2 linked regions of the Schizosaccharomyces pombe genome follow. The protein of the gene in region 2 binds, or shares a complex with, the protein of the main gene of each other region. Each region holds a gene or a part of one and is shown on either strand. Other genes may lie near its edges.

Region 1 (4,111 bases), on a different chromosome or scaffold from region 2:
TCTGTGCTTGGAGGTGTCGTTTTAGTAGGTTTGGGTGGTAAAATTCGTGTTGATAACACTTTGCGTGCTCGCTTAGAGATTGTGAAGGAAGAAGCCCTTCCTGAAATTAGACGTCTTCTCTTCGGTGAAAATCCTAACCGAAAGTTCGATAATTAAATTTTGAGATATCGTCATTTGTTTCTTTCATGACATTAATTTCTTTTGCTTTATCTTATAATCTTTCTCAAGTTCATTTAAAGCATTTATCTATAACTTGTTTCAAATTTTTGCTTCATCCAAGTATTTAATGCTTCAGGCTAAATGATCGCAAGTTCGGCTTCCATTGTTTTCTTAAATGTGGATTGTGTATGATTTCTGCTGATTCTTATCATAAATTATTCCCATAGCTGCTTTCTATTAATCAAGTGGATACAATATCTTTCAATGGATGCTAAGTTTTGACTATCGTAAAAGATGGTAACTTCTTTCTTCTTTTCTGTCCATTTGTAATTCCAAGGGAATTATAATAAGTAACTTTCTTTTAAATTAAACTATGGATTTCTTAGTTAGAAAGTATTATACAATTTGTTGAATTTGCGCCAGCACTGAAATTAATATTAATAAATACACTGATTGTTTATCTTTTGTACGCTTGCCGTTTATTTTTCTTTTTTCCCTTCTTCACCTTTTTAGCTGAAAAGCTTTTGTTTTCTTTCATCGATAAGTTAGAAGTTTTATCCTTGAAATACCTGTCCTTTTGTTTATTATTATTGGGCAAGTCACTTTCAATAATCCTCTCCAATTCTGGTGCTGAGTTTGTATTTAAATAGTAAAGCACCATAAAAAGTCTATGTATGCAATCTTTAACTTCACATCTCGATAGTAGCAAATGGTCTGTTGAACCAGATATTGTTAAATCTATTTTTCGTAATTTTTCCAGTAAGCACTCTAAGCGCTCATTAGTTTTAAAATGCTTTTCATCCACCGCATATCCGAAGGTACGAATCTGGTACAATAAAGTTGTATAGTCATTATTACAGGAAGCGGAAATTTCATCTAGTCGTTGACATAAAGAAGAAAAGTCTGAATCATCATTTTTACTTTGTTTCCCAACAAATAATGTAAAAGCAATCTTCTTTCTGAATTTTTGGCAGGAACGAGACAAAGAAGATAGTATTGTAACCCAAACTCTAGGACTTTCAGACACCTTATGAATATTACTGATCAAAAAATCTGGATTCAATGATATTGGAAGTTCCATGAATTGAGAAAATTGCCATTTACAAAATGAGCCCACTTGATTGTCAATTAAGATTCGACATGCATCCTGAATCATTTCAAAGCGAACAGTGTCGTCGGAGAACCGATACAAAGTTCCACAGCATTTTAGGAAATTAATTACCTTAATTTTCAAATTGCTTTTTAAATTTTCTGAGGCTGACGTACGTTCCAACTGGATTGGTACCTGTCGTTTCGCTAAATCAATGCCAATCATATCTGCAGTAGTCTCAAAAATAAATCGTACAATTTGGTTGAGATTATTAGAGCTGCTTTTATAGCTATAAAAAATCTTTTCTAGGTTAGCAATCCATTCAGAGCATGTTGTGTCTCCTAAAGAGCGGAAAAATTGCAAGCTGCATATTGACAATGCAATATCTAAGGGGACCAATTTTGCCGATAATAAATCACCAAAAGTTGTTGGTATAATTCCTTCATTAAACTCCAAATCGTTATCTTTCAAGCATTCTGCTTTCAGGGTGTTCCAGTCTGGAACACGAGCTTTTGAATTGCTACAATATTCGTACCTAAGGTCGTCATCATAAATAGGGTTAGAACGTAGAACATTCAAAACATTTGATCCAACACTTTTTCCTATTAATTCATCAATTTCATCTCCCGTTTGAAAGGTTTGAGTGCTGTCATATTGCAATAAATTTTGTACTGCTAATTTTCTTCTTTTTGCAACCGAATCGTCAATTGTAGCAGTACTAGAAAGAAGATCAATATTCCATCTGTATGTAGATGAATTAGAAGAATCATTTTTCAAATACTGTTTTCGCGATTGGGCTCTTGCCGAAGGCACCAAAGAAGAGATATCAGGAAGCTCGTCCAACTCTTCAGAATCATCACTATCAAGTATGTGGTCAATTAATTTTGAAGAATTATCTAAATCAGGAAATTTTGAAATGTTATTAGACGCATTCATAGAACTATACCAGCAAAGACACTTTTGATGTGCTTTGGTAAAAGGGTGGATGGATATATAACAAAAATTATGAAATAGTAAATAGTGGAAAGTAAACGTTTATAATTTAATTATATAGCATTATAGTTTGACGACGATTGTTTTTTTGTTGTTTATAGTCTCATTTCATCCAATTTGAGCATTCCAAGCAAATAATATTAAACATCGAGTAAATTATTGATTTTCTTATTAAATGAATAATTTGTTAGTTTATAGCATTTCAACTGCTATTACCGGAGAAATCATAAACATATCCAAGCTGGCTTCGTTGATGTTTACATATGACTTTTCTTAAGCGAACATTCAAAAAAAAAGAATAGAAAAAACCTGTCATAAGCTTTTGTTAACAATTAATGATTTTTACTAATTCTGAGTTAAAGTTATTGGAAACCTTAGAAGAAAGAACACCTAAAACCAATTTAGGCACGTTTTCATTCAAAGAAATCTTTACAAATTACATTAAAACCAAAGAAGCCAAGTAAGGGAGTCAAACGAGTCAAACACAACTCCTAAAGAACAATGGCGACATTCAAACAGGCATTTAATGAAACAATTGCTGAGCAAGTATTATAATACTTGGCCTTATATAAGAAACGTCAAAACTTTTCTCTACACTTTAAATATTTTTGTTTTTGAAAGTAAAAGTATAGCAGATCGATTAAGTCCTTGGAGAGAACATAAGTGCGTTTAAATCATTTTATTCACTATCATCAATACAGTTGTTTACAACCTATAAAAGTATCCCACATATAGCTTGTTCTTCATACTACCGGCTTCGTAAAGGTTCGAGTTACCCCCACATAGACATTCGCAAATACTCTGGGCCTAGTCCTACGAAGTGAATGTGAACGTGAACTAGATTACGACTACAACTAGAAACTAGCGCTATGTGGGGGCCGTACAATGATGATTTATTAAACAATTATACTTCTCTTTTTTACTGACTTCTGTCATGGTTTTAGGAATCATTTAAAGTCGTTTAGTAGAAATTATTCTTTCTTTTTGATAGACACAAAAAAATACTTCGGTGAGAAGTTTAAAAGCGAATAAACGCAAAAAATCAATATGTCTTTTAAAGAAGTATCTACAGAAAATGGTGTTCTAACACCCTTGATCACAATAAAAGAAAAAGCGTACATGATTATTGAGGGACTCAATGAGGAAGAGATAGAGCTGTTAAATACTAGGTTGCCAAAGCTAAGTAAGAAAGCGCTGGCTAGAAACCGATACTCCAACATAGTCCCTTATGAAAATACTCGTGTTCGTTTAGATCCAATGTGGAAAGAAGCATGTGATTACATTAATGCTTCCATAGTAAAAATCCCTTCTGGGAAAACATTTATCGCTACTCAGGTTAGGAATAAAAAGAAATTGCGGGATTGTAAACGGCTTTGGCCTTTTTTCTTTTCATCATTTTTTGTAACATAATTACTAACTTAGTCTTCTTTATTTATATAGGGTCCAACGTCGAACAGTATTGATGTTTTTTGGAAGATGGTCTGGCAATCTGTGCCAAAATCAGGCATCATCGTTATGCTTACCAAATTGAGGGAACGCCATCGTCTGAAATGTGATATCTATTGGCCAGTGGAACTGTTTGAGACACTTAATATCGGTGATTTAAGCGTTATTTTGGTAAAAGTTTATACTTTGACATCATTAAATGAAGTTCAAGTTCGTGAATTTGAGCTGAACAAGGACGGGGTCAAGAAAAAAATTTTGCATTTTTACTATAACGGTTGGCCTGACTTTGGTGCACCACATACCTTCTCACTACTATCACTGACTCGCTATATAAAAAGTCTCTCATATTCTCCGGACTTTGAAACAGCACCCATTATAGTCCATTGTTCAGCGGGTTGTGGCAGAACGGGAACTTTCATGGCG
Region 2 (3,552 bases):
AACTCTTTCTTCCTGTTAATAATATCAGAAACCTCCTTTTCGCTTAAAACGTATTTACTCATATCCCTGAGGTCATTCAGCTTTCGTTGTACAAAATTTTTAGAGGGCATGGAAAGCTTATCTTCCATCATTTGGTGATGCCATCGTTGGAAATCATGGTCGGAAAAAGGCTCATTTGATAAGACGTTGACATCGAACACTCTTTTCGAGCGACCATGAAAACATTCCAGTGAAACTTTAGTTAAAACACCATCAACACGATACGGCTTTCTGCTTTCTAAAATACCCTTGACTTGACATAAGCGATATACACCTTGTCCATCACGCTCACCAATTTTAACCCGAACAAAGCATCCAGTGACGGTGGACTCAAAGATAGGATGATACATGTACTCCGCGACATGTTTACGCCCAAGACGAATTGCATTTAAATCGTACAAATTGGCGGATGCATTATCTTTTGAAACTTGTTCAACTTTTTCCTCAGCATAGCTGGGAGAGTAACCTTCCTCTTCTTCGCTCTTCTCCGACTCATTCTGTTCTTCATAATCGGAAACAGGGCTCCTTTTTCTAGTTCTTTCAGAGACGCTTCTAGCTGAACGTTCCTGGCGGCGCTTTTTCAGCTCAGTAAGCTTATCACGTTTGCCAGCGGCTGCTGAAGTTAAAGGCTTGTCACGAGTAGACCTTCTAGTAGATTGCGCCATATACTGAGCATTTTGCTGATGGAGGCGAATTGCCAATTCACGCCTTTCCATCAACTTTGAAATTTCTTCTTCACGTTCGAAGAGAATACTCTCTCTCTCAATTTCCGTCATTGCCATTATCCTTTATTTGGTTAGACAACTTTATGAAAAATGTAAAAATCAACGTACTTTGCTCTGTCTGCTTCATCTTTAAACTTGCCCTCTAGACGATACGGGTTTTTGAATTTTTCTTCAAATTCGTCTTCCGACTTCTCATTTCCTTCTCCTCCAGACTCTTCCGCATAATCCTGTCCAACATTTTCATTATTGTCTTCGTCTGAACTGCTGCTCAACACATCATCTCTAAAATATGTTTTGTTAGCAAGGTCAATCCGATAAATTTGCTTTCTTACAAATCATCATGAGCCCTTTTACGGTTTGAAGCAACATCTGAGTCATCAATACCAGCTAATGCCAACAATTCATCCTGAAAGTCGGCCATCTTGGTGGAGGACAGGATCAGATTAGCTAGATACCTGACTAATAACGGTTCCAAGGACTCTCCACCAATTTCATAACAGCAGCGAAACTTTTATCTACTAGCTTTCAAAGGTACTATCTGCTAGTACATTAAAAGAATAATGTTTTTATAATTTGAAAAGTGATTTTTTTTTTAATTTTTTTTTTACGAAATAATTTTTGCAGATGTTGTCTTCCTTGGTTACAAACCTTATCGTTGAAAGCTTCCTTTTAAAATACTGCTCATTTGGGGTCCTCCTCTTTCCCTCTTTTTGAATATATTTCTTCTGTCGCGTAAAAACTTCAAACTGAGAATTCTGCATTTTGTTACAATATAAAATTCGTGAATCAAACCATTCAATAATAATCACAAGACTGTAAATAGGGCACATGTTAAATGCTCTTTTACAAAGAAAATCGTTTTAAGAAATAAGATATCTCTTCCATATCTGGCTTCTTTTACATATAAAGTAGCAAAGATTGCTTACGCCATTTCAAAATGAACTCGGCTCTAAAGGCAATAATAGAGCTTTGTATTGAAGAAGACTTGTTGCCAAAATCATTAGATGTTTTAGAATATCTTCTATCGACGACCTCTATACCAATTCCAGCTTGTTATATACGAATGTGCATAACTCTTCTAGTCCACCCAGAATATCCTACCTCTTCTAATATTCAAGAAAGCTGTAATTGGATATTACAGCAGGTGGTTGAGAACAGAAGCAAAATCAACTTTGACGCATGGTCATTTGAAAATGATCTATCGGACAACGATATGCCTAAAGAAAATTATCTGAAGATTTTCTCCAACCAATGCTTATTTACCCAAGATGTTGATTATTGGGATCTAATTGCATACATGTCTTCTCGTCCTCCTGACCTTGAACGTTGGATGTCCTTGATGGACATATGGTTAAGGATATTAGAGATCGATGCTGAGGAAAACGGATCTGCGTTGATGAAAAAATACATGGGAGAAGATTTGTGTGAACTTCAAGATGCCATCAGAATTTGCTTCTCCTGTTTCACTCTTCCCCAGCAAACAATGGAATCACCTTTTGCAACAAGTATGTCCAAAGCACCTGCTAAAACAGAAAGTCGAGGTTCAAATAGTTTTGAAGGAACATCAAGACTAGCAAACCTAGGTGCCAAACTCTTATGCCTTATATGGGCTATGCTTCCGAAGGGAAGATTTTTTGTTGTACATCTGACAGACGCTTTTCATTTTCTTAGCAAACTCGACGAACGTTTTTCAAAACTGAATGCGAAACAACAAGATCTTTTCTTTGGAAACTTAGGCGCCTCCAATCTCCGGTATTGCCTGAGCCAATATATACTTATGAAAGGAATAGGTATTGGAATTAACATACGCCATACACGTTGTGAGTTTACTAAACAGCTAACTCAACTTTTACCCACTTCCCTTCCGAAAAACAAAATCAGACAGAAGCTACATCTACGAGCATGGGTCTCATTTTTGGGTTCGGCCCTTCGTGAAAGTGATCGCAACTTTGATAAAGAGCTATTTTACACAACGTTGAAGCAGTTATACACAATGTATCAACAAACAGAATTAGTTGGTATTGATAGACCAATGGCAATACTCAAAGACATGCTTGTATTATTAGATATTTCAAAAAAATTGTCCTTGGATAAAATCGTTTAACTTAATAATTTAACTACAAATTAACAGAAGTCATTTGGCATTAATTGTGTATCCTAATATATATAGACTATATGTATCGTTTCAATGAATGAGGCTTTGTGTGGAAAATAATTATTATAATCATTAGTGATAACTAAGAAAATGAAATTTATATGAATAATATATAATAAACAAACGGGTAGATAGAAAGTAAATTAATTATTACCGAAAACGAAATGAAACATTTTGTGCAATAATTGTATGCTTGACCCCTTTATAAGATTTTTTATCTGGATGATTAAGCATCTTCAATGACTCTACTTTAAAATTATGAAGGGTTGATCCTTGAAGTTTATATTGTAAATCAAGGTGCTCAAGCTTAGAGTAGCTACTTGACTCTTCGGTTGAATTGGCATCTTTCTTTAAGGGGGCCAGGAATCCTGTCAACACTAAGGCCGGGGATGTCCAAGCTAATTTTTTTACCGACCACTCCAGAATACCTTCTTCCATATGAGTATACTTGGAAGCACGAAAAATATAATTTCCCTCGGTAACCGTAACGCTCTTTAGAGCTTGAGGAATAGTTATTAGGATTTTTAAATTTTCAACGGATTTTTTCCCGGTGTTTCGAATACGTACTTCGAACCTTCCATCCAACTTATTTTTTGCTTCAACAACAACAGGCAAAGATTTCTGGGTAGCAAA

The links. Proteins that work in one complex are often made in the same cells at the same time.
Region 1: nse5 (region 2) and nse6 share a complex: the UniProt entries of both Schizosaccharomyces pombe proteins name them as parts of the smc5/smc6 complex.

The regions. Positions count from the first base shown.
Region 1 is NC_003424.3:5,295,549-5,299,659, forward strand, and holds nse6 (Smc5-6 complex non-SMC subunit Nse6), read right to left. Parts: upstream 2,233-4,111; 5' UTR 2,186-2,232; coding exon 617-2,185; 3' UTR 501-616; downstream 1-500. Other genes in the region: vma4 (V-type ATPase V1 subunit E), read left to right, coding at 1-156; protein tyrosine phosphatase Pyp3, read left to right, coding at 3,290-3,577, 3,683-4,111. UniProt on the Schizosaccharomyces pombe protein: Acts in a DNA repair pathway for removal of UV-induced DNA damage that is distinct from classical nucleotide excision repair and in repair of ionizing radiation damage.
Region 2 is NC_003423.3:1,256,202-1,259,753, forward strand, and holds nse5 (Smc5-6 complex non-SMC subunit Nse5), read left to right. Parts: upstream 1-1,701; coding exon 1,702-2,868; 3' UTR 2,869-2,991; downstream 2,992-3,552. Other genes in the region: prf1 (RNA polymerase II-associated Paf1 complex protein), read right to left, coding at 1-825, 873-1,046, 1,097-1,185; AP-3 adaptor complex subunit Apm3, read right to left, coding at 3,070-3,552. UniProt on the Schizosaccharomyces pombe protein: Acts in a DNA repair pathway for removal of UV-induced DNA damage that is distinct from classical nucleotide excision repair and in repair of ionizing radiation damage.